Linked DNA regions of Ovis aries. The protein of the gene in region 1 interacts with the protein of each later gene in a pairwise test. Links are inferred from orthologs where the notes say so. Each region holds a gene or a part of one and is shown on either strand. Other genes may lie near its edges. The genes, in order: NUDT21, ATXN1, MYL6, CEP126, RBM48 and TRIM27.

Region 1 (3,500 bases):
CATTCTTACCCAAAGATTTATAATCAAAGGCTGCTTTCTGTAAGTCTTATGATCAAAGGGTTACAAGGTGATACCTGTGATGAAATAAGAGTTTTTAAACTATTTTTAAGGAAAAAATATTTACTAGGCAAGAAGAAAACTTTTCAATATGTTATATTTTGAATACTTGATAAAAAAGTAGAGAATGTTTATATTACACCTAGTCAGCAAAAGATTCAAATGAAGAGAAGGGAAGAATAAAGATACTGAATAGAAGAAATGCAGAAGGCTCAACATCTTAGAAGGGAAAGAAAAGTTCATCTGAAGAAGAAAGTTACCAGAAAACTCTGATGATAGTTGACTGGGACAAATAGAAAATAACTGGGGAGATTATGGAAAGTGGTGGCTCAGTTTGTAGAAAAAAACATCAGCCATTAGCACCCATAATTAATAGAATTTATGATTAGATTGGTAGAGGAGCCCAAGGGCACATTAGCCAGGTTGACAGTGTTAGCATCTAAAACTAGAGGATTGCCAGTTATTCAGATAGCCACTACTCTGTGCATTAAGAGCTTTAAGGATATTGTCATCTATACTTGACCTGAGCTGGTGGCTCAGACGGTAAAGCGTCTGTCTACAATGCGGGAGACCCGGGTTCGAGCCCTGGGTTGGGAAGATCCCCTGGAGAAGGAAATGGCAATCCACTCCAGTAGTATTGCCTGGAAAATCCCATGGACAGAGGATCCTGGTAGGCTACAGTCTATGGGGTCGCAAAGAGTCGAACACGACTTCACTTCCCTTCACTTCACTTCATCTATACTTGACAGTTCAAGTAGGAAGTAACAGCTTGAGCTAATGAAAGTTCTGGTTTTAGAGGCCAGAGAGCTAGATTCTAATCTCTGCTGCTGCTGCTGAGTCACTTCAGCGTGTCTGACTGTGCAACCCCAGAGATGGCAGCCCATCAGGCTCCCCCCGTCCCTGGGATTCTCCAGGCAAGAACACTGGAGTGGGTTGCCATTTCCTTCTCTGCTCTCTTATTAACTAGTTGTTTAACTTTGTTCAAATTCTTTGTCTCTAAGTGCAATATATATACACTTTTTACCAAGGTTTCTTTTATGTGATTGGTGTCTGTCCTACTAATTTGTGGTCTACAGTTCTCAGATGTCTGTCTTTGGATCACAGGTACCCTCTTACCAATTACACTTTTGGTACAAAAGAGCCTCTCTATGAGAAGGACAGCTCTGTTGCAGCCAGATTTCAGCGCATGAGGGAGGAATTTGATAAAATTGGCATGAGGAGGACTGTAGAAGGTGTTTTGATTGTCCATGAGCACCGGCTACCCCATGTGTTACTGCTACAGCTGGGAACAACGTTCTTCAAATTGTAAGTGTCATTGGAAACGAACAACTTTTAATAGGATGGCTGTTTTATGCAGCTTTAATACAGCTTTAGCTTTTAGCCATTTGTCTCAACAAACATGGCTGTTACTGGAGTCTTGGAAGAGAAACTCAAAAGCATTTTTTTTCTCCATTGCAGTGTTCATTTATGAACACTGTGGTCTAACTAGAATGGTCTAACTAGAAATCTGCATGTTTCTCTGTATTGTTGATGCTAATGACTGGGCTTGAGAGAAGCCCTATGAAACAAACGAGTCCAAGTTCAATTTCTAGACGTCTTTGAAGCATTACTGAGAACAATTGATATTATTTCTTGCTTAGGATCAATAGTGTTTCCTGTTCTTAAAATGCTTTACATTTTTATAGATTGTTTAGTTTTCTCATTTACATTTATAAATCTCTCGGTATGTTTAGTCCACAACTGTTTGACTAGATTGTACCAAAAAGAGTGTTCTCAAATACTTAGTTTGGAATTCTTAAAAAATGCTGCATTCTTCTGATCTAGAGAATGTGGGTCCACTGCTTTCTCAGCATTTCTAGACTCCATTATCACTAGATAACTTCCAAAGAGAAAAAATTGGGATGTACTGGTTTCCAGCAACTATGTGATGTTTATGTTCTGGTACATATTTTAAGACTAGGGTTTGTCTACTGTGAAACTCATGAATGGACATGAATTCCGTTTTCTAGCACATTCTTCCCCCTCCATTTGACATTTGTTTGCTTTAATTGCCTTATGTAACACCGAAATGTGTTACGAAGCTACTTGATAGAAATAGTAATTATTGTGTTTTTCCTGTTAACCAAAATTGTTAATACAAGTTGAAAGCTGAAATTTTAACCTTTATACAGGCCTGGTGGTGAGCTTAATCCAGGAGAAGATGAAGTTGAAGGACTAAAGCGCTTAATGACAGAGGTATTTTTCTGTTTAACCACTTTGATGATTTCATTAATGCTCATCTAAATACCGTCAACTTAATGCATAGTCAGATTTTTGTATGCCTTGAAAAGGATGAGTTTATTTTAAATATTTAGTTTTCTATAAATAAAACATAAATTCGGAGTGTTAGTACAATGTTTATTTTCTGTAAGTTGAACTTATACTTTGTCATAGCATTATTTTCCATTGAAATAGTTGATGTAGCAATAATGGTTAATAAAACAACATTTACTGAGTATTGACTGTTAAGCAATGTTCTAAGTGCTTTACATGTAATAATTTATTTAAACATCATAATAGTATTAGGAAGTGGGTGCTATTAATCCTGTTTTACTGATAAATTAGGGCACAAAAAGTGCAAGTAGCTTCCTTGATGTTTTACAGCTAGTGTGTGGTGAAGCTGGAGATTTGAATGCAGGTAATTTTATTCCAGAGTAGGTGTTGGAATTTTGACAGGAGAATGATTCCTGTTACATACCTATTTTCATTTTTGCACATACCTTTTAGGCTTTGCCCAGGTTGTTACTTTTTAGAAGCTCTTCTAATGTCTGTCTCTAAAGACTTGGGGCCAGATGCATATAGATGCTGGAGGTTTTTGAGATTGTAGGCTGTTTCATTAATAAATAGTTTTCTTTCTTAGCATGCAACCCCCGTTAGTTACAAAACTCGTACATATTCTGTGCAAAATCCTTGGCAAATACAGAAAGGAGACAAAACTAAAACCTGTATTTCTTCCACTTTGACTTGTTTTTTAGTATTTCTAAAATGCAGTGTTAGTCTTAAATATTCTGCTGTGTTTGAACTTTCATTTATATACGATAGATTGAATCTACCTCAGCTTATATACGATAGATTGAACTTACCTCAGCTTTTTCTTATAACTCCACCAAAAAACATTAAAGGGGTTTTAGAAAGATAAAAGTCCAGTAAGTTGATGGAATGTAAAATGAGACTGTAACAAGGAAAAAGTGTTTGAAGGTAGAAAGCAGATGAGCGAATCATAATTGACTTAGCCAAAACCTCAGCCTCCCAGAAGGGCAGTCAAGGACCCAGCACTCTAGAACATCAGAAAAGCTTAGGAATTGGGGGTACTTGTGAAAGAGGGGGTGTGCATGGACTGAAAGCTGAATTGACTGGCAGTGTGCATAGGATTATTGATGTACCTAGATCATCTTCCCTACTTT
Region 2 (4,250 bases), on another chromosome or scaffold:
GCTGGTGGAAACACTGACAGTTCTTTAACCATGGTATTATAAGGAGAGTGGTAGCCTATATATATCATTTAAAAATCTGAGCAAACCATAGCGTGCTTACAAAACCAATATGCTTTCCTTAGACTGCACTTCCAAATAAAGCTGAGAGACCAGAAAAGTAAAATAAACTAAAAACAAAAGTGAAAACCACTCACACAATAGACTCTGAGGTCAACTCACCACACCCAAACTGAAGTCACTGGGCTCTGTCCTTGGCATGGAGACTCTTAAAAGACATGCTTCTGAATCAGCTTTCTTGACCCTCCACCAGACTGTAGCAGCACAGGCTTCTGGGTAATGAAAGTGACATCAGCAATGGTCAAGAGTGAAATTAAAATCATTGTGTTTAAACATCTGCTGACAGTTTATGACTTAATAGTACACATATTAGGCAATTTTAAATAAGATTCTGTCTACAGTGAAAACAAAAACAAGTGCTTTAGCATAGGTCTGTACTGTCCAATATGATTGTTAAGCACTTGAGATGGGCTGTAATTGTAAAATATACCTTGGATTTTAAAGACTTAGAACATGTACATACATGCACATATATACACATAAGTTCATATAGTATCTCAATGTTTATATTGATCAAATGTTAAAATGAAAATATTCTACATATATTAGGTTACATAAAAATATTGTTAAAATTAACTTACCTGTTTCTTTTTACATTTTAGTGTGCCTACTATAAGATTTACAATGACATGTGTCCATTATGCTTCTAATGCACAGCACTAGTAAAGTCAGTGGGGCTGGGGAGGTGCAGGAATTAGTTCTAAGAACCATAATTGGAGATCTTATTGCAGTAGTGTAGTAGGTGATTTGGTTACTTTTCTACCTTCCTGAGATTCCCCCCTTGCAGTGTATAACACTGCCCTTGAAAAGTGAGTGTTAGTCACTCAGTCATGTCTGACTCTTTGGGACCCCACGAACTGTAGCCTGCCAGGCTCCCCTGTCCATGGAATTCTCCAGGCAAGAATACTGGAGTGGGTTGCCATTCCCTTCTCCAGAGGATCTTCCTGACCCAGGGATTGAACCCAGGTCTCCTGCATTGTGGGCAGATTCTTTACCAACTGAGTCACCTGGGAAGCCCAACATGCACTTTACCCCTTATTAAAATATCTCTGAGAGTAAGCTGTTGGTAAAGGCATAATCCTGAGATATGCTAGGCTTAAAATTTGTTAGGCTTTATGTTAGACTAAAAATTTGTTAAGAGTCAGTCTCTCAGGGTGGGGTAGGGACAGGCTTCAGATACTTTGCCACCCTGGGAAGCTGATGGAAAACTCGTTCTGTGTTTTAGAAAGCACACGCTTTCTGGAGTGACAGCTGAATGGTTGAGGGTGACATCTTTTAATAAGAAATGGCTTTAGGCCATTTAGGTGTGGATAATGAAAAGTATACAGTTACTGCTTCCCTAGAAAACAAATCAAAGCCAAAAGGAAATCTGTGGGTTTTTTTTTAAACAATTTCTAATATATTTACTACAATAGCATATGTCAAAAGGAAATGAGATGAATTTTAACCATTACCATTTATTTTGCAAGCAAGACCTAGATACATTTTCATCAATATAACTATTATCAACATTGAATGTACTGCAGTGACTTATAAAATAACAGAATTTGTGGTTTTATGCATCTATAGAACATAGCTCTTCTTACATGAAATTGAACAACATTTTAAGGCTCAGAATGAGTGAGTTGAACTTTGCTCAGTATTGGCCAGGAGCATTTGGAAATCTATTAAAAACACGTCATTAACAACTTGGCATTTTGTTTCCTCAAAAGAAATACATTTTCCAAATTAAAACCAAAGCCCAAAGCCACCATTGTTTACACTTAAGATAGAGGCAGTTGATGGGTTGTGAAGGTAAAGCTTGTGGTGCCTTCAAACTAAGATCAGGGACAATGATAGCCATCAAATTGTTATTCTGACTTCAAGACATTAAAATACATAGCTATAAGCTCTCACCGTGCCTTTGTTTTTCTTGAGTCAGTTTTGGCTAGGAAAAGCTGATCCAAATGCAGGTCAGAGTTTAAGACAATTATTTTATGAGGAATTTACCAAGTTTACCCCAAAGAGGAAGAGCCAGAGAAAAATGCATTGGCAAACTTTGCCTTTTGACATAAACAACTAGAGGAAACTGTCCGTGTCAGGATTTCAGCAGGGTTTGTCAGGCAGTTTGTTATTTGCAGAAGCCCTGTGCTTCAGGGCCGCTCCAGAGTTTAACTGCTGGGTAACTTTGGGGAGCTCTCAAGACTGACCACTGAAGATCCAAATTTGCTTTGCGCCCTGGCACTGACATGGAGCGATTGCTCCTGCTATCCATGCTGACCGAGCAGACTAATAGCACTCAGACTTCAACTGTAAATTACAAACAATCCCTTTTTAAGTACAAAAATGAACGCACAGAATGGAGGACCCTGTCAGCTAGAATGCCAGTAAATCAAGCAGAAAAAGACAAACGGTTCACTTACACCACTTACAGCCAGATTCTTGTTCTGCTAGCCATACTGTCATGGGAGAACTTTTCTTTTTCTGTCAGATAAAAAGAGAAATTAATACCCCCATTGTAATTCTAATCAACATGCCAGCCATCAACGGAGGCATCTCCTCTGAAAGCCGATCAAGCTTCAAGGTGATGCTTCCCAACCCCTCCCCCTATCTCTGGTTTAAAACTTGTAGCTGAAATACCAATAGTAAGACCATGTGACCCCAGCACTCCCAGCGCCAGCTTTTCTGCAGTCAATTTCATAATGACTTCGCTCCGCCTCTCAGCTCAGCACTTCCTTCCCCCTCACTCCTCTCGCCCCCACCCCCAGCAATGAATCATCGCGCATTTAAAGAGACTTAGATGACCCAGCGTGAACTTTACTGGCATCCTGTACATTCTTATGCCAAAAAAGGGAGTTGCTCTGTGGCAGAAACCTCGCCAGATCCCAGTGCTGATCTGAGAGGCAGCGAGATTGGGAGCTTATCTAGGAAGATCAGTGAGGAGTTAATTTTCCTAGATCCTGGTGGTGATTCAGAATTGCCTATCTCAGTTCACGATCAGGTTTTTAAGAATCCAGTTGAGCTCTCTGTGCAGAAAGGAATATATCAGAGAAAAAAATGTTGGCACATCTCCTTTATGCAATCAGGGCAGAGGAATTTATACCACATCAGCCTTTTGATTTCTTCGGATCTGGCTGAGGGCGGGGTTTCCATATTTGTGCTTTGGCAAATGTGTCCAAGAACGAACTCCCCCTTAGAGATGCTCCTAGTGTTCTTTCAGGTTACTGTGAGCTGATTTGTGCATTTATCAAAACCAGAAACATCTCTGCCCCTTCCTTTCTTTAATACCATTTCTTAGTAACAGAGATTAAGCAGACAATCTGGGCCTTCCTTACAGAGACTCTTCACCCTACTTAAGGCATAAAGGGTGGATCGCCTAAATAACATTGTGCTTTTCCATATACTTTCTCCCTACCTGGGAAGCCCTTCTTTGCAGGGCAATTTTTATTCCCATCCTCCAGGATCCAACCCAAGCACCAACATTTCTGCGAAGTCTTTCCTGATTATCACAGGAGTTTGTGGTTCTGCCCAATGTGTGAGTCAGCGAAGTGCTATTTTCTTATTCTTTTTATTTATACAATTTTTTTTTAACTCTGACAGAAAAGAAAAAAATCAGGGCCGTAAGCACAGATGGAAAGAGTCTCCTAAATGAGAGCGTCTCTTATCTAATATTTCCTGTTACTCCCAAACCCGTCTGACCTCCACTTACAATTTCACATGTCACTGTTTTCCTTTTATCGCTCCGTTTATGTGGCACCCCTCACTAGTCAGTTCTCCGTGAGAGTTCCCATTGTTGTGGGTTGAATTTTGTTCCCGGAGAGATACATCTAGTCCCCAGTGCAGGGAGTATGGCTTTATTTGGAAATAGAGTCTCTCCACATAGATGGCGCTAGTGATTAAAAAAAAAAAAAAACCCCACCTACAATGCAGAAGACACCAGAGACGCTGGTTCAACCCTCCCTGGGTTGGGAAGATCTGCTGGAGGAGGGTATGGCAACCCACTCCAGTATTCTTGCCTGGAGAATCCCATGGACAGAGGAGTCCATAGGGTCCCAAAGAGTCAGGCACGACTGAAGTGATTTAGCATGCACAGATGTAATTAGTTGAGATAAAGTCTTAATGGATTAGGGTGGACCCTATGTCCAGTATGACTA
Region 3 (3,950 bases), on another chromosome or scaffold:
CCTTGGGGTCAGTTTGCAGTACTCTCGACCCCCAGCTCCCCTCCCACCAGCTGTTAGTTCCCCCTGCCCCACCCCGAGCAGCAAGAACACAGCAGAGGCAGAAGAGTTCCCAACTACACCTACAGCTACTGTCAGCCACTGGGGGGAGGAGGAGACAGAGTTTTGGGTTAGGGTATCTCCAAGCTGCCCAGCGGAAAGAAGAGAAGACCTACAGCAGCACGGTGGGGCAGGCAACCCACCCTCCCTGCCAACCACGTGATCCTGAGCTAAAGGATCACCATGAAGCCAGACGGGGGTAGGTAGGCTGGTGTGAGTTCCCAGACACCAGCACCCTGGAAGCCAACCAAACCTCAGACCCAGTTCTAGGAGAGGAGGAGGTGCCACACCCCCAGGCTGTCTGCCTCTTTGAGGAACCCCTCCCCTCCCCAGTCAGCTCCATGCAGAGGCATGCCGGGAAGAAGTCAGATGGTAGTAGAGGAAGGCAGGGGCTAGAGAGCAGAGGCTGGGGAAAAAAACACTGGGGAGGTCAACTAGAGAAGGGGGGCTGGGAGGAGCCGTACCCGCCCCATGGGCCCGTCACCCCGACAGGATATGCCTCACAAACGCTGCAGGAAGGAAGAGACATTCATGGTGAAGACAAGACATAGACGTGGGGTGAAGGGGTCAGGCAGTGAGGAACTGGACATCCATTTTTACTTCCCATCCCTTTCCCACCCTTCAGGCCACAGGAGCCCTTCCTTTCCTGTCACACCCCTCTGGCCTCCCATTCCTGGGCGGGGCTGGGCCCTGCCCCTTGCCTCCTGTCACTTTTAGGAGCCTGAATCCAGGGACAGGGAAAGCCCTCAGTGCGGTGCATGACCTGCCCCCATATGGCTGCTTCCTCCGTGAGACCGCCGGTTCATCCCTCACCTTCATAGTTGATACAGCCATTGCTGTCCTCATGCCCTGCCACCAGCATCTCTACTTCTTCCTCTGTCATCTTCTCACCTGCAGAGAGGAAGGAAGAGCGAGCATTCTGGATTTGGGTGACACCGAGGTCTCTCAGGTGGCACCTCAAGAAGAAAGGGCAGAGCCTCACCCAGTGTGACGAGAACGTGCCGGATCTCAGCACCCATGACGGTGCCGTTCCCTTCCTTGTCAAACACCCGAAGGCCTTCAACATAGTCCTCATAGGTGCCCTGGTCCTTGTTCTTGGCCACAGTCTGCAGCATGGGTAGGAAGTGCTCAAAGTCCAGTACCTTCACGTTCATCTCTGCCGAAAAGGAGGTGGAAGCTAAGTCATATGTGTTCTCAGGACTGGGGGTTAAGGGGCTCCCACTCCAGGCAGGAGAAATCTGTGGGATTTGCCAGACAAGACCCGCTCGTGTTTGGGGCCTAGGAAGATAAAAGGAAGCTATTAGCTGAAGACTGCGGGCCCCACCACAGTGCAGAGTTGTTCTTAAGGACCCTCACCATCACTCTTGGGGTTCCCCAGGACTTTGAGCACCTCGGCGTTGGTGGGATTCTGGCCCAGGGCCCTCATCACGTCCCCACACTGACTGTACAGGATCTTGCCATCCCCCGTTCGGTCAAACAGCTGGAAGGCCTCCTTGAACTCTGAGGATCCAGATAAACATCAGTATGGGACACACAGATGTTAACCCAAACCCTCCTCCATGGTCCCCACCGCCCATTCAACTTTGATCATGCTGAGGAAATCAGATATTTATAACACTGTACACCCAACCCCTGTAAGAGGGATCCAGTGTCCCTTCCTCCCAACTCAGGTGTCTCACATAAAGACCTGGCCTTCCTCAACGCTTAGCAGAGTGGTTCCGGCCACTTACATACCCTCTCCGCCTGCAGCAAGCCTGCCCAGCCTCCTCATTACACGACTCAGGGCAGGAATTTGCCACCGCCCTGTCTGGGCCCTGTCCTTATAAGGAAGTGGGAGCAGCGGCCTGGGACTGGGGTCATCCCAGCCTGCCACTTCTCACCCCTCTAGTACAGGGTCCTTTCAGAGGGTACTGCTACAAAGAAGTATCCTCAGCAAACTCCCCTGTTGCACTTTCACAAAAAAACAGGTCACTGCTGTTTACAGCCTTTACAATTCCAAGCTGAGGGGACAGGGTAGTTACCACAGGAGGAAAAGAGGCAGAAGTAGCTGATTAAGGAACACAGGAGCACAAACAGCTTAATACACCGTCCCCAAGCCCCACACACAGCAGGCATTAGTGATCAAGTTGTTTCACACAGCCACATCACCTAAAACTCACCCAGTGCTTGGGGATCAGATCTAGAGTAGAAGGGAAGGGAGGAAGAAAGAGTGAGAAAAGAAAATGGAAGATCCAGAAGGAAGGAGAAGGGAACCCACCAGGTACTCCCCTGGGGGTGCTAAAGAGATGACAGGTGAGGGTGAAAGAGCTAGAGGGAGTGTCCCTCTCCCTAACATGACCTCAACAGAGGTCAGCGATTACCTACCTGCGGTCTGATCCTCGGTGAAGTCACACTGCTCAGAGAAGACGAGAGTGGTCAGCATCTTAACTCCAATACCCCCAGCTTCCGTCCCAGTCCCAAGAACTCTGAATCACAAACTCCTATTCCATGCTGGGGACTCGCTTCCCAGCAGGGTAGGATCCCAGACACTCCAACCCCACCTCCAACCTTCGAGGGCCTCAGGTTCATTTACCCGCTACTCTCTGCCTTCTCCCCGCCCCCTCTCCCCGGCTTCCCGCCTTTCGCCCCAAATCCCGCTCATCCTCTCGGCCCCGGGCCCCACCATCTTGACGCTCAGCTCTACGGGACCTTTTCCTGCAGTAATGGCTCCGGTTCCTGGCCCAACCCTAGTCTTAGTACGTCCTAATGACGTCACCCCAGCTGACCCAACCAATAGGGATCCTGGCCCGGGTTTATGCAGATGACGCTACTATATTAGTAATAAAGTGGGCGGGGGCCAACTGGTGTTCAAGTCTCCAGAATAGCCCTACCTGGGGCACAGAAACTGCAGAACAAGGTGGAATGGGGCGCAAGGAATCTGCTCCTCCGAGCAGCGAGAAAGTCAGAGGAGGTCGCATTGGTGGGTGCGGGTGGGAAGAGGAGCCCTCCCTTTCCCTCCCCCACCTCTAAAGAAAGCAAGAGTCGGAAGCTAAGGGAGGAAACGTCTCTTTATTTTGAAACAATAGCCTCCTAGTGGCAGGAACGTGCTTTTGCCTGGTGGGAGCCCAGCGTCCGACGCCACTGCACCTGTGGAAAAAGATGAACGTTGCCAAATCCTGCCGCTGTCGGCGCAGCAAGACACGGAAATGCACTTCCTTGCTTTTGTACGCAGGCAGAGGGACAAGAAGGAGGCTTGCCTCCCAAGGCGCAGTGAGAGTGCCGTACCTGCATTGCTCAGACGCTTAGGATGTGCTTCAGGAAGGCTGCAGAGAGAAGAGGCAAGAGGGGCTTCAGAAGCTGGCCTGATGATAACCCATCTGACTTTAGATAATTCAGGCTTCAGGATGCCTCCACCCACATACCTCGGGCCTCCTGCCTCCCTCTTCCCCAGTCGTTTCTGCTCCTCTGGCCCCTCACCTTCATAGTTGATGCAGCCACTGCTGTCCTCATGTCCTGCCAAAACAGACTCCACCTCCTCTTCAGTCATCCTCTCTCCTGGGCCCAGACACAGTGTTTTAGCCCCTGCCTTCCCTCCCTTATCAACCCATGCCTCTTTCTTCTGGTGGCACCTCCTCTTCTCCCACCCTGGAGACTTGCCCATAGTAACAGTCCCCCAAGAGAATTCCCTCTTTGTAGTGGGCATGCCTTGAATGTGTCTCTGAATCTTGCTTTCCATTTCACCTCAATTATAGGTGGTGAAAGCTTTGACAGACAAGGAAACTGAATTCCAGAGGATTAAAAAACAGACCATATCATAGAGTACAGCCATCTCTTCCTAAGACTGAAACTCAGATTTCCCACCTCGTTCCCTTTCC
Region 4 (4,274 bases), on another chromosome or scaffold:
CTGACTCTTTGCTACCCTATGGGCTGTAGCCCACCAAGCTCCTCTGTCCATGAGATTTCCCAGGCAAGAATACTGGAGTGGGTTGCATGCCCTCCTCCAGGGGATCTTCCCTACCCACATATCCTAAGGCTGCTGCATTCCAGGTGGATTCTTTACCACTGAGCCACCAGGGAAGACTGCCCTACATTGCTTTTTCTCTCTCAAATTGGCTCTAGAGAAACAGACTTGTGATGATAGCCAGTGGGAATAGAATCAATGTAAATTCCTGTGACTAAGTCAGTTAAAAATTTGCAAAGATAGCTAATCCTCCTAGTGTACACAGTTAGCCTTTCTTTGCCAAGATTACATATTGTGTCCTCTTGGCATGGTCCTGAAGAGGGCTACGTGCTCTGTGTTTTAAGTAAAAACTCAATTTGTTGTGGCAGTTTTAATCAGAATACATTCCAGTTTGAATCATTGCATCCAACTTTGCAAAAACTCTGTTTTAAATAGCTTCAACTGGAAAAGTTTATTATTTTGAACTCTAAAAATGAACAAATTGATTCACAAAGGCATAGGCATTTGAATGGTGGTGAGTGATTTTCATTTGGTTTATACATTCTGCTTCCAATATGGGAGGTTTTTCCACACACACATTAAAAAAAACGCTAAAATATACTCAGAATTCACATGTGTTTTTACAATGAATTCCAACAAAAAGTTCAGCCTTTTTTCAAATTTTTTTAACTTGCAAAAGTTCTGAACTGATGGCTCAAAAATCCATTCGATTTTCCATACCTCCTGAAACAGTTTCAATATGATGATCTCTTTTGGCATGTCTTCCCAGGAGATTACTAAATTAAATCTGCACTACTTTCCTGGCCGCCGATGCTTTGATGGTCTATTTCCAGAATCTGGCAACAAGGCTGGCACCATTAAAAGTCTTTGAAATGCAGACCTTATAAGTAGGGAAATGGCAAGGAAGACGACTTGCAGACGGAATGGCAGAAGCATCAGGGAGGGAGAGATGGAATGCAGAGAAAGGAAATTTCCACTCCCAAAGCTTTTTAAAAAAGATGGTGATTGGGAACAGTGATGCTCCAGAAAGACAGAACTTCAATCACACAACAGCACTCGGCAGTTAAACAACAAATTCTACCCTGAATTACCCCCGGAGGAAATAATTTCAGAATCCCCACGGTGGCTTTGCGAATATCTGTGGATTTTTGCATCTCGCTGTCTTTCATCACTCTTAGTAACCCCACGAAAACAGCCTCATAAAAGCGAGGTGGAACGGAGTCAGGTTCCGAGGCACAAGTCAGCACGTCCTCCTGAGAGGACTTGTGTCCCCGAGGAGGCAAGCTTCCTGGCCGCCGCCCGCGGGCAACTCGGGGGTTGGGGGGCGGGAGGCGGGGCACAGGGGAGAGGTCCGCGCCTCCTATTGGCTGCCTCCAGGGCACCGCCCCCAAACCCTGGTCGCCGTCGCGAAGGACGCGGCGTCGGTTGCTTGTCAACATGGCGGCGGCGTCGCCACCTCTGCCGTTTCCAGGCAAGGTCGCCGCTGCGGCAGCTGCCGTCGACACCACAGCCGAGAGCGCCGCTGTGCGGGAACCGGAGCTGCGGCGGCCAACTTTCCCGCCTCAGTGACGCGAGGCTTGAGAGACGGAGTGCTGGGAGGGCCGAAGGAGGCAGCGGGAGCTGCCATGAGGGAGGCTCTGGGGGCTAGCCGGGAGGCGGCGCTGAGGTGAAGGATGCTGACCAGGAGGCCTGGAGCCCGGAGCGCGGTGCCAGGACTGGGCGCTGAATCCTCGGACACCCACGTCAAAGCCCCCCTCAGCCCTCGCTTGAGCGGCGGGCGTCACCGACCTGGCGCCTACCTGTATCCTTCCAGCCGTGGTTGCCTGGGTGGCGGTGTTGGAAGTGGGGAACCCGATCTTTTTTCTGTTCTGTTCCCATTATCACAGATGCTAGATGAGAGAAACCGGCCAGTCATCTTAATGCGGGTATTTGCTTCGGCAACTGTCGCTGCTCCCCTTAAACCTGAAAATACCATCTTCTATTCTAGGACCACTTTCCCGGCCACCTTGTTATCTCCCCCGTTTTCAACTTTGCAGTAAAAAAAAAGAAAAAAAATTTTAATGAGTTTTGAAATGGGTAAACGTGTTCTCTGGGGATTGTTTTCTTGTAGAGTTAGGCCATTATGTTCTTTGCTTCATATTATCCATCTCCTGATAATTCATGCTGCTTGGAGAAAAGAATGCCGCAAGTAAATAAAATGTTTTGGTCTCCTGAAATAGTCCGTCTTAACAGTTAACCTAACACTTCATTTATCTTACAGAGCTGCTAAAGCCTAACATATTTGGTTAATTTGTTTTGTTTTCCATCCTCTGCCCAGTCTGTTGTCAGAGAGACAACAGACAGAAAATGAGAAGCAAAGGACCTGGAGCCTTTGCACAGGTTTATCACTGACTTGTCCCTACCTAAGAATTGGTCTAGCCCACCTTTGACATTATTATTGGTTGCATTGTAGAAAATTGAAAGTGTTATACAGTTCTGTTTTCCGAATATGTAAACCATGTTTATTCCTTCAGAGAGTGTTATGACAATTAGAGTGTAACCTTTGTATTCTCAGAGGACTTGGTTGGTAGTGGTGATGCTGTGTAATCATCTTCATTCTTGTCAGAGAGTCTCTGCTTTTCAAATTAATTCCCACTTTCTTATTGTCTCCCAGTTCTGGGAGTTGCACTTTTAAAAGCAAGTCAACAAGCAATTTTCATTTAGTGCCTCCTTTTTTGGCTAGGTGCTTGGGATACAACTCTAGTGAGGAAGACAGGTACATACAAAGCTTAAATAATGGTAAATATTCCTCTTCTGATCATGCTTCCTCAAGCTTGTATCCCATCTTTTCTTGCTTTAGTTGACTTTTCAGAATGCTAACCTGCAATGACAGCTTCTAATTCTTTTCATCTATTCATTATTAACTCCATTCACTTTGGCTTTTGGCCTTGCCGCTCCTCAAAACTATCCTGATTCAAGGTGTAATCTGAAATCAACCGGATTGTTTTCAGTATGGATTTGATTCTGCCCCATTGACATTGTGTTTACTTGAACCCTGAACTCCTATTACACTGACCCTGATTTATCTGTAAATCAGAAAATAGGGAAGCACTGTAAGTGGCTCATTGACAAGGTGTATCTTTCCATCATTTTCATTAGTGAAATGATCATAGACTTAATATTTTTAAATTTTTAAGGTGTGAATGTTGATACAACAAAGGAAATAGTTGTAAAATAAATTTGGCAGTACCTCAAATGAACAAAACCAAATAGATATAATTCCAGAATTATAATGTTGGTTTCCTATAAAGAAATGTATTACTAAAAATTTACCTAAATACTAAATATATAGTTAAAACTAAGAAAGTTGTAAATAATCATTTCAATAGATACCCTGAGCCTTTGCTAAAATCCAACAACTTTTGCTAGTGTATGTGTGTGTATGCATCTATATGTATTATATATAATATACATTTTTTCCTAGTTTATACATGTATGAAAGTGAAAGTGAAGTCGCTCAGTGGTGTCCGACTCTTTGCGACGCTGGGGGCTGTAGCCTGCCAGGCTTCTCAGTCCATGGGATTTTCCAGGCAAGAGTACTGGAGTGGGTTGCCATTTCCTTCTCCAGGGGATCTTCCCGACCCCGGGATCGAACCTGGATCTATATAGTTGCCAGTAAATCAAGAATATCATTGTTACTAGTTGGAGAAACACTTAAGCGCTTGTGTCATATTGTACGTTTTCAGTGTCTGTAATGTTTCATATTGGATACCTGGTACAGAGTAGGTGTGCAAATTTATTAATAACTAAATTTTAAAAAATGAGCTGTGGACTTAAAATAAGAAGTGGCTTGGTAAAATTTCTACATGTGACTTCTGAATATGAATTCAGTACTCAGAGGCTGTATTTCTCTACTCGAATTGGAATTTCCTAACTCTAAAAGCTATGGAAGAACAAAACTTCATGAAGTTTATCTAATTAAAATTAGATGAAGTTCTATAATTTCAACTTCTTAAAACAATTCAAAAGAAAATAGAATAAAATTTATTTTCAAAAAAAGGAGGGAAGTTCTCTCATGTCCCCTTCACAGTATGCCTCCTTTTTTCTCACAAGTATCTCCAGTCTTTTCCCCTTCCATTTTATCCTAGCGTCCACCTTGCCTCTCTTTATTCCCTACCCAGTTTAAACCTGTTTTTAATTATCTACACATATTCTCTCAACAACATCCTTGGTTTTTT
Region 5 (4,276 bases), on another chromosome or scaffold:
TTATCTCAGATTCACATGTCAGCTGCTGTGTTGTGGTTATATTACTCACAGTTCCTTAAAATGCATGACGCTCATTTATTCCTCTGGCCCATCTTTCCATCTGTTCCTCTCCCTTTCTGGGTAATGTCTACTTTCCCTTCAGAACTCAGCCACCATTCTCATCCTGCAGGAATCTTCCATGAAATAACATCTATCCCTTCCCAGGCAAGATTACATAACATTCTGTAAAGAAAAAACTTCGTAGCTTATAGTCACTAGACTGGGAAAACTCTAGGAGGGTAAACTCAGCAAAATGCCTGACACATTGGAGGTGTTTAGTAGTAGGCTTTACATACCTTTATTTTTAGTCATTCTTGCTACATAAGCATTCCTCTCTTGTAATTTCTTTCTGGTTTCTTCAACTGTTTCAAATTCTGGAGCATAGCACACATGAAGCAAGCCACCAAAGAAACTCTGCTCATCCATTTTTCTCTTGGCCATCCTAAGCAGAAATTCACGATACCATGGTTTACTTAGGGTGAAAGCTTAACCAGCATACAATGCATTGATCTAAAAAGCAAAGTCCAGACTTTGTTGTATACATAAATCCTATAGCTTCGGAGCTGCGATGCTCTGCACGTGAATGGTATTGACCCTACTGATCCACTGCATATTCTTTCAGAGCCTTTTTCCCCCTCTCCCAAGAGTCTTCATAGGTTTTAAGCTAAGTTTTCCAAACATATCCAGACTCCCTTTAACCAACATAAGATTCAGCTGGTTGGCCTGAGGTACACAATCTGTGGTCATGAAATAGAGATTCTGTGTTAAAAGGCCCTCAAAAATTAGCTCATGCCCAGCTTAGCCTTTTTAGCACAATGTGTTCCTATAATGGGGTTCAAAGATAAGAAATTAATAAAAATATTACAATTATAAACATTTAATAATGGAGAAAACACAAATATATAACAGTAAATGAGAAAAGGAGAGGATAGTATTCATTTAATGTATACTTACTAAACATCTATGACTGGCCAGGAATTACTACGAAATTAAGTACTTCTGTGTCCAAGGTAAATGGTAAGAAATATTCACTGAGATTTTACCATGTGCCAGGCAGTGGCCTAAATGCTTCACTTGAAATCACACTTCTCAACATCCCTATGATGACTCTGAGGCATGGGGAGATTATTTGTCCAAGCTCACCTTGGTTTGTGGAGCCAGGATTCAAATCCACATGTCACACTGTAAAAGGGGTGTGGGAGATGCAAAAGCTTCATGGAATGAATACACAATAAGGAAATATACTTCCCTAACCATGAGGAGCTGGCAAGTTGGTTAGGGCAGTGAGATTATACATAAGAGCAACTGGAGAACAATATATGACCCATATACCCCAGTACTGTTTGTAGCACAGAAAATGTGAATTGTAATAGCCAGGGAAGGGATGGGTCTTGAAGCAAATTAGTGACAAGAATATAAGATGAGGCATTTCATATTTCCCTTACTACAGCAGAGGATTTATGCTATTCAGAAGAAAAAAAAAAAAAGATGGGGTCAATTCATATAGGTGCATAACAAGAAACCTAACAGCTAATGTTGTTTACCGCATTCTGAGCAGGAGGCATCTGCTAAGCCCTCTACATGGATTATCTCATTTCATCCTTACACATTTTATAGGACAGGAAAACAGGTTTAATGGGATTAAATAACTTGTCCAAGGTCATCATGTTAGTAAGCAGTGGAACCTGAAAACTTAGTCCAAACCCAGTTTTTAATCTACCACACTACAAGACAGAAAATGGTTACACATGGGGATGACCTAATGGACAGACTTTTGATAAAGCTAACACTTACATTAAGAATACTGGAGAAAAATAAAAAGCCATGTTAGATTACTGAGTAATTCATGAAAGAATGAGGGAGGCCAAAATGATAGCAATGGGAACAGAGGAAATGAGACACTGCCTGACTTGTATATTACCTTGCGCTTTGTAAATTGAGAAATTTAATAAGATAAACTTCTGTAAAGTCTTCTGCTGGGTATTCATCTAGAGCATTATACTGTTCAATTGCACCATATAGAGCAAATCGCTCAACTAATTCCTTCATTGCTCCCACGGCAGGAACTCCTTGTATTAATAAGTACCAAGACTCCAAATTGATTGTATAGACCTAAAAGAAATGCACACGCATTAAATGTGTTTCACAAACAAGCCTAGGACAACCTGTTACTATTCAAAACAAACAAACAAACAAAAACCCTGAAAACAAGAACTACTCTGTTCAGGTCTGCAGAAAAGGTGTTTTTGTTTTTGTTTTTAATCTGCCCTTCTCTTTGTAGAAACAATAAGTCACCCTACATGTGAGGGCTTCGAGCTAAAGCACATAATAGACTACCTCCAATCGACATGTCTTCAGAAGCTGCCTCGGTAAATGTTACAGGAAAGAGTTAAATATTCACTACTGTAAACACGGAAGATACGACTAAAACACATACCCCGTTTTCACGGAGCTCCAACAGTTGACTAAAGAGGCCGCGAGAGTATCTGCTACCTGGGTACCGGCGTCCCTCACACTCATCTCCAGCAAATGGATGTGACCGCAGCCTTTCAAGACTTTATTTACATTAACTGGGCGTGTGAAGCTACAGCTTACATAAAGCTACCGACGACAACGAATGAAACCAAAATCACTTTACCTTCACAGCGCGAGGCCGTCGGCCCTCCCGATACTTGGCTCTCGAGTCACACACAGCCCTTTGGACGTGGTGATCGAATACGCCCCCAACTTGCCCTCCACTGGACGCCATCTTGCCGGCTTTGGCCCTCGCAGAGACGACAACATCCGCCTGTTGCCCTCCTGATTACCCAATCAGAGAGAGGGATGGGTCAAGGCGCGCCGAGATTGGCTGAAGGAGCCACAGGGTTGGCCATCGTTTCCTGTGAGCAAGTAGGCGGCGAGCGAGCTGCCGCCCTCCAGCGGCGCGGCGGAGAGGCCCGGCGAGCCGGACTGGGCTGGCCTGCCGCTCCAGCTCCCGAGGCGCGGCGGGCGCGAGGGGCGGGGCCTGGGGGCGGGGCCGATCGAGCGTAGCAGGCCCGGTCACCCTCGGTCCGCAGGCAGCCCGGGTCCGCTGGGGTGGGCCTCCGGCGGGGCCGTCGCTGGCGGAGGATGTGGGGCAGCGGTCGGCTGGCGGGTGCTGCTGGCGGGGCGGCCGTGACCGTGGCCTTCACCAGCACGCGCGACTGCTTCCTTCACTTGCCGCGGCGCCTAGTGGCCCAGCTGCACTTGCTCCAGGTAACGCGCCCGCCCCATGGACTCCCCAGCCCGGACTCGGGACTCCTCGGGGGCCGTCTGCGGCCGCCCGGGACCCAGGCCTTTTCGGGACGCAGCGGCCGCTCGGGCGTCTCCCGACGGCGGGACGCGGGCTGCTCTCCCCGCGCCGCCGACCTGTTCATCAGCCAGAACGTGGGCCGCTCTGGAGCAGGGCCGGTCCGGGCGGTCTTTGCAGCCCTACCACGTCGGGTGCAGCCCCGGGCCTTTGCGTTAACTTGCCGTACGTATTCCAGGTCTTCACTCGGTGAAACTGGGCTCTCAAACATCCTGATAATTTTCTCTCTGAGTTCAGCTATTCCTCACTCCAGGTTGGAAAAGCTTTGGAGAAGTCGGGTTTGTCTGCGGATTTTGTTTTGTTTCGATCGTAAAAAACGTTTTTCCTGCCAGTGGTTTCCAGGTGCGCCTGCCTGGCTGTGGCCCAGGAGTCCCTGTAAATTAATAGAGACTGAGCCGCGAGCGAGATAGGTTAATAAGATGAAGGTTCTCGCTGCGTCTCCGCTGCTCGGAATACCTCCTAGGTGTGCCCGGAACGTGCAGTGGGATTATGCATACTTGGACCTCTGCAGTTAGTTGCCCTCTGGACATTGTGATTGTGGTAGTTCATAGTTCTAACCACATCCCTAGTTTCGTAATTATAAAATAGGGGCACCTGGTCTACCAGTTTGAGTGTGCTATGAGGACAAAAAGAATACTTGAAATCTTTGAAAATCCTGGATGCACAGTACCCACTACGGGCTAATCCTTGCAGGAAATATTTAGGAGTTTGCAATAATTTTAAATATCCCACCTCTCCATTTTAGCTACTTGCCTTTAACTACTTTTCTAGATTGTTTTTCCCCAGTCTTTCAAAGCATGTTAATTTCAATAGATCCTGCCATTGTTGCTTTTACTATAGAGAGTCTCTTGGAGCTTCCCAGGTGACAGCTAGTGGTAAAGAATCCTCTGGCTAATGTAAGGGATGTAA
Region 6 (4,136 bases), on another chromosome or scaffold:
AAGGTTATCTGTCCTTCCTTCTCCACCACTTATCCCACTGAGAGACTCCACAAAAGCTTATTTCAGAATAAAGGGTCAGCAAACTCCCGTGTTTACTCCCTTGGAGTAAAAGTTTATTGGGAAACAGATCCACTCATTTAAATGGTGTCTTTAGCTGCTTTTGAGCTATGACAAGGGAGCTGACTGGTTGTGGTAGAGGTATAGGCCACAAAGCCAAAAATATTTACTCTCTAGTCCTTTACAGAAAGGTAAGGGACTATTTTTTCCAGAACAACCACCCTCTCCCCCAAATATCCCTACCACAAAGGCCTTGGGAAACTAGGAGAAGGGAACAAAGAGAAAAGTTCAGAATAGAATCATTGCCAAGAAAAAGAACATTCCAACAAGAAGCAACAGTCAAGTTTATGGAAAGCCACTGCCAGCATCTGTCTGCAGAACAATACAAAAGGCTGCTAACCAATGCTCAAGAATTTCACCAGAATCAACCCTGATCTGCACAAAGCTAGCAGATTAAACTTTTGCTAGGTCAGATCTCCAAGGGTTTAAAGTTGACTATTCCATCCTTTTCCCCCCAGATGTGGGAATCCCTTGGTTCTCCAGGTGAATTCTTAACTGCCATGTAAGGTTGTTCCACCCGTACCTATAAGTTCTGGGTGATCTGACTGCACAAGGTTAAGGGAAGTTTACAAGTCTTACAATATAAGAGAGTGACCAGAAGAACCGATATTATCTACGAATTCTCAGGAACCTCACCAAGAGTTCAGCTCGCGCCTGCTCTCCCTGTGCCCTTCGCCTCTTCTTTAAGTCTTTCACTCTTTTTAGGTGGTCCAGCTGGTTCTGGATTTGCTCCTGAAAAAGCAAAAACAGATGTACAGCTCAAGATAAGGCAGGCCTTAGCAGTGTGACTCTTCTGCTTATCACCTGTGTAACCCACATTCACGATGCCAAGTTCTTGGTGAGAGCCTGTCCTTGGATCACACTGCCATCACTGTGGCACCACACCTCTCCTTTGGTAGTTTGTATCTTAAATGGTGGGTCACCTACCTGCCTTTGGAAGGATACCGCATGGCTTAGTGGAAAGGTGAATAAACTAGAAGGCTTTAGTTGTCGAGCTTTCAGGGACAGGTAAGGAGAGAAAAGGACTTAACTTCTCCTATTTTCCCTTGGTGTGACATGAACCAACACCACCTTCTCAACCTAATAGTGTTCGGTGTGAGTAAAATGGTATTTTTGAAAGCACCATAAATGTTCAGTGAATAATTTTGCATGAACATACTCACATTTACACATGTACATAATTGTGTGGATGTTCTCTGCAGTCCTCATACACAGATTATGTGCACACCTTGAATGTTGTCTTACAACTATTTTATATTTAATACTTTATTTCCATGCTATCGTTGAGCTGTACAAATCTGTTGGTGCACAAGGGAATCCACACAGCATTTTATTTCACTCAGTCTTCATTAAGTCTTATCTCCTATGAGTCGCACAGTGGTTAAATGACTTAGGCAGTAAGAAACTTGTTCTTTTCCGGGAGGTTCTAGAAGAGGACGGAGCACAGGGAAGTGCTGGGGGAAAGGAGAGGTGATGGGCATCTATTTGATGTGAATACAGCCGGGCAACGTCCGACTGTGTTTTGTCTGAGATCATCTAGGAGCCAACAGGAATGCGAGCGTCTCTGAAGCTTGTCGCTGCGTACGTGGTTTTACAGATATCTTATATACAGTCAAGAGGGGTCTCCATGGGCCGTCATGTATAATGTGCCCGTGAGAGGGTAAACACAGAGGCACATACGCAATGAGGGTGGGGAGACTTCTGGCTTCATCACCAGCTACAGGTTTTCCTCCCAAATCTGAGTGCCGAGGCTCTGGAGCGGACAGAGGAAATGACGGCTGTGAACCACACGTCCGGCTCAGCCATTTTCTAGGCGGAAAAAAGGAAGCCCCTTTGGCTCTCTCCTCCCTTTGTCCAACTCGCGCTCCGGCCCCTCCCCGGCCCGCGCGCCCGGCCCTCACCTTGAAGCCCTCCACCGCCTCCTCGAGCGGAAGCACGCTGTGGCCGCGGTGCTCGCGGGAGCGGTCGCACACCACGCAGATGGGCATCTGGTCCTCCTCGCAGTACAGCTTCAGGGGCTCGCGGTGTTTCTCGCACACGCCCATCTCGCCTCCGGGCCCCGACGGCCGCTCTGTGCGCAACTGCTTCACCAGCTGGGTCACGTTGGCCAGGTGCCGGTTGGGCCGCATGTGCCGCTGCGGGAAGGTCTCCCGGCACTGCGGGCACGACACATTGGTCTCCGCCGCGCCCCAGCAGCGGGCGAGGCAGGCGCAACAGATGTTGTGGCCGCAGTCGAGCATCATGGGCTCCACAAAGTACTGCAGGCACACGGGGCAAGTGGTCTCCTGCTGTAAGCACTCGGCCACGCTCCCGGAGGCCATGGCGCGGGCCCGCGGGGGCGAACGGGCATGGGCCCCGGTGCCCAGCCCAGCGCGGAGCCCAACTCGATTGCGCTCCCTCCCGTCCGCTGTTTCTGGGCGGTGCGGAAAGGCCAGCCGGGCTGACGGAGGGCGACGCCTCCCGGGCCGATCCCAGACGCGCCCGCGCGCTGGAACGGCGGGTGGCCGGGCCGCTCCCTGAGCCGCTGCGCCGGGCGGAGGGAGTATGGGGGTACCGCGGCCCCACCGAGCCCAGCGACTATGTGAAGGGACAGCAAGATCGCCGCCGATCGGACTCCCGGAGCCGGGCGCTCAAAACGCGCAGGACAACGTGGCCGCGTCGGAGCCGATCCCAGCGGCCGCGCAGACCCCACCCCTGCGCGAGCGGAAGAGGCGGCCCGGGGGCGGGGCCTGGGCCGGACCTCCTTCGTGAGGCTGGAAATTGCGGCCTCAGGCCTGGACGGATTCTTTCACAGGGAACCCGGGAGGCCTCGCCGCCAGGGCGGGGGCGGAACGCGCGGGCGGAAGCTCCTTGGGTACGGGTCCTAGAGGCAGGCGGTGTCCACGGGGTGCGGCGGGGTCAGGATAACCCCTGCCTGCACGCTCCGGGCGCCCCCGCCGAGCCTTGGGCCTTGGGCCTGGATCCCGGGTCTTTTGTTGGGTTTCTTCTCTGGTGCTCAGGCCTCTGCCGCGGCGAGAGAAAGCTGGCTTTGTGTTGGTGTGGGAAGAAGAGACATCTGGCTTCCCCGGTAGGCCAGAGGGCTGGGAGTAGCCGACTCAGCCCCACCCAGTCTGTGAGGAACTTTATCAAACAACCCCATTGACGGGCGCTCGCAGTTGCGTTTCGTAAAAGAAAGGATTAATTATTAGATGAAAACATTTCTGTGACAGAAACAGGCAAGCCCAGTTCTGCTACTTCCTACTGTGCCTAAGCAAAGTGGTCTACCATTCTGAGCTTCAGTTTCCTGTCTGGTGAAACGGGAGTAATTATACCCCAGCTCCGTACAACTTTTTAACCCTAAGGAGGTTTACCATTAAAATAATAAAATACCCACTGCCTAGAACTACTAAATAGAACTTAAACATGCTTGCTCATTAATAAAACACCTAGTGCCTAGAGCTGTACTGAATAGAACTAAACAGGCCTGCTCCTTCCCGAAGTATAGGGGGAATGATAATCCTGTGAGTAACACAGGCTGTTTTCATTATCCAACAAACTTACAAAATTTTTGCGTTGTTCGCCCATCCCTACTTTGGTGTTTCCTGTTTTCCTTTGCTATTTTCTCGATATTGTCCTTCATCCTCTAAACTTAATTGAATTTGGACAGCCTTGCCTGTGTTTATTTTAATTTCCATTGTTATATTTTGAACTAAGTGATTTCAACAATGTCAGTTTACAAATCTTTTTTAAATGAGTTAGTAACTGGTTGAATGTGACCTATTCCACCAGTTTCCTTGTTTATACTCTTTTTCTCTAACCTATTTACACAATGTTTCAAAGAAACAGATCCGATACTTCAGTAACTCTGTGAGGACAGAGACTTCTCTCCAGACCTCCTGGATTGCTGTTATGCCTTGTATGTAATTATATGAAAGGATTTCAATATTTATTGGATTATTAGACTAAAAATTAACTTAATGACTCCAGGGTCACATTCTATGCATACTGCTTATCTTCATCACAGTTGTTCAGTTGGTAAG

The links.
Region 2: the proteins of NUDT21 (region 1) and ATXN1 interact in binary tests that used the Homo sapiens proteins (3 or more experiments, as listed by UniProt). The link is inferred for Ovis aries from reciprocal best matches to the Homo sapiens genes NUDT21 and ATXN1.
Region 3: the proteins of NUDT21 (region 1) and MYL6 interact in binary tests that used the Homo sapiens proteins (3 or more experiments, as listed by UniProt). The two-hybrid records come from large-scale screens. The link is inferred for Ovis aries from reciprocal best matches to the Homo sapiens genes NUDT21 and MYL6.
Region 4: the proteins of NUDT21 (region 1) and CEP126 interact in a two-hybrid assay, tested with the Homo sapiens proteins (2 studies listed by BioGRID and IntAct). The link is inferred for Ovis aries from reciprocal best matches to the Homo sapiens genes NUDT21 and CEP126.
Region 5: the proteins of NUDT21 (region 1) and RBM48 interact in a two-hybrid assay, tested with the Homo sapiens proteins (2 studies listed by BioGRID and IntAct). The link is inferred for Ovis aries from reciprocal best matches to the Homo sapiens genes NUDT21 and RBM48.
Region 6: the proteins of NUDT21 (region 1) and TRIM27 interact in binary tests that used the Homo sapiens proteins (3 or more experiments, as listed by UniProt). The two-hybrid records come from large-scale screens. The link is inferred for Ovis aries from reciprocal best matches to the Homo sapiens genes NUDT21 and TRIM27.

What each region holds. Positions count from the first base shown.
Region 1 is NC_056067.1:23,688,617-23,692,116, forward strand, and holds part of NUDT21 (cleavage and polyadenylation specificity factor subunit 5), read left to right. Parts: intron 1-1,161; coding exon 1,162-1,362; intron 1,363-2,228; coding exon 2,229-2,292; intron 2,293-3,500. UniProt on the Homo sapiens protein: Component of the cleavage factor Im (CFIm) complex that functions as an activator of the pre-mRNA 3'-end cleavage and polyadenylation processing required for the maturation of pre-mRNA into functional mRNAs.
Region 2 is NC_056073.1:39,589,813-39,594,062, reverse strand, and holds the start of ATXN1 (ataxin-1), read right to left. Parts: upstream 2,801-4,250; 5' UTR 2,520-2,800; intron 330-2,519; 5' UTR 220-329; intron 1-219. UniProt on the Homo sapiens protein: Chromatin-binding factor that repress Notch signaling in the absence of Notch intracellular domain by acting as a CBF1 corepressor. Binds to the HEY promoter and might assist, along with NCOR2, RBPJ-mediated repression. Binds RNA in vitro.
Region 3 is NC_056056.1:163,379,480-163,383,429, forward strand, and holds the start of MYL6 (myosin light polypeptide 6), read right to left. Parts: upstream 2,801-3,950; 5' UTR 2,762-2,800; coding exon 2,759-2,761; intron 2,489-2,758; coding exon 2,461-2,488; intron 1,597-2,460; coding exon 1,453-1,596; intron 1,253-1,452; coding exon 1,079-1,252; intron 988-1,078; coding exon 910-987; intron 606-909; coding exon 577-605; 3' UTR 1-576. Other genes in the region: MYL6B (myosin light chain 6B), read right to left, coding at 3,370-3,398, 3,553-3,630. UniProt on the Homo sapiens protein: Regulatory light chain of myosin. Does not bind calcium.
Region 4 is NC_056068.1:6,579,997-6,584,270, reverse strand, and holds the start of CEP126 (centrosomal protein of 126 kDa), read left to right. Parts: upstream 1-1,474; 5' UTR 1,475-1,730; coding exon 1,731-1,858; intron 1,859-4,274. UniProt on the Homo sapiens protein: Participates in cytokinesis. Necessary for microtubules and mitotic spindle organization. Involved in primary cilium formation.
Region 5 is NC_056057.1:10,622,525-10,626,800, reverse strand, and holds the start of RBM48 (RNA-binding protein 48), read right to left. Parts: upstream 2,801-4,276; 5' UTR 2,789-2,800; coding exon 2,678-2,788; intron 2,152-2,677; coding exon 1,961-2,151; intron 1,955-1,960; exon of another isoform or gene 1,257-1,954; coding exon of another isoform or gene 1,183-1,256; intron 482-1,182; coding exon 336-481; intron 1-335. Other genes in the region: peroxisomal ATPase PEX1, read left to right, coding at 3,148-3,273. UniProt on the Homo sapiens protein: As a component of the minor spliceosome, involved in the splicing of U12-type introns in pre-mRNAs.
Region 6 is NC_056073.1:29,117,412-29,121,547, reverse strand, and holds the start of TRIM27 (zinc finger protein RFP), read right to left. Parts: upstream 2,801-4,136; 5' UTR 2,439-2,800; coding exon 2,019-2,438; intron 850-2,018; coding exon 754-849; intron 1-753. UniProt on the Homo sapiens protein: E3 ubiquitin-protein ligase that mediates ubiquitination of various substrates and thereby plays a role in diffent processes including proliferation, innate immunity, apoptosis, immune response or autophagy.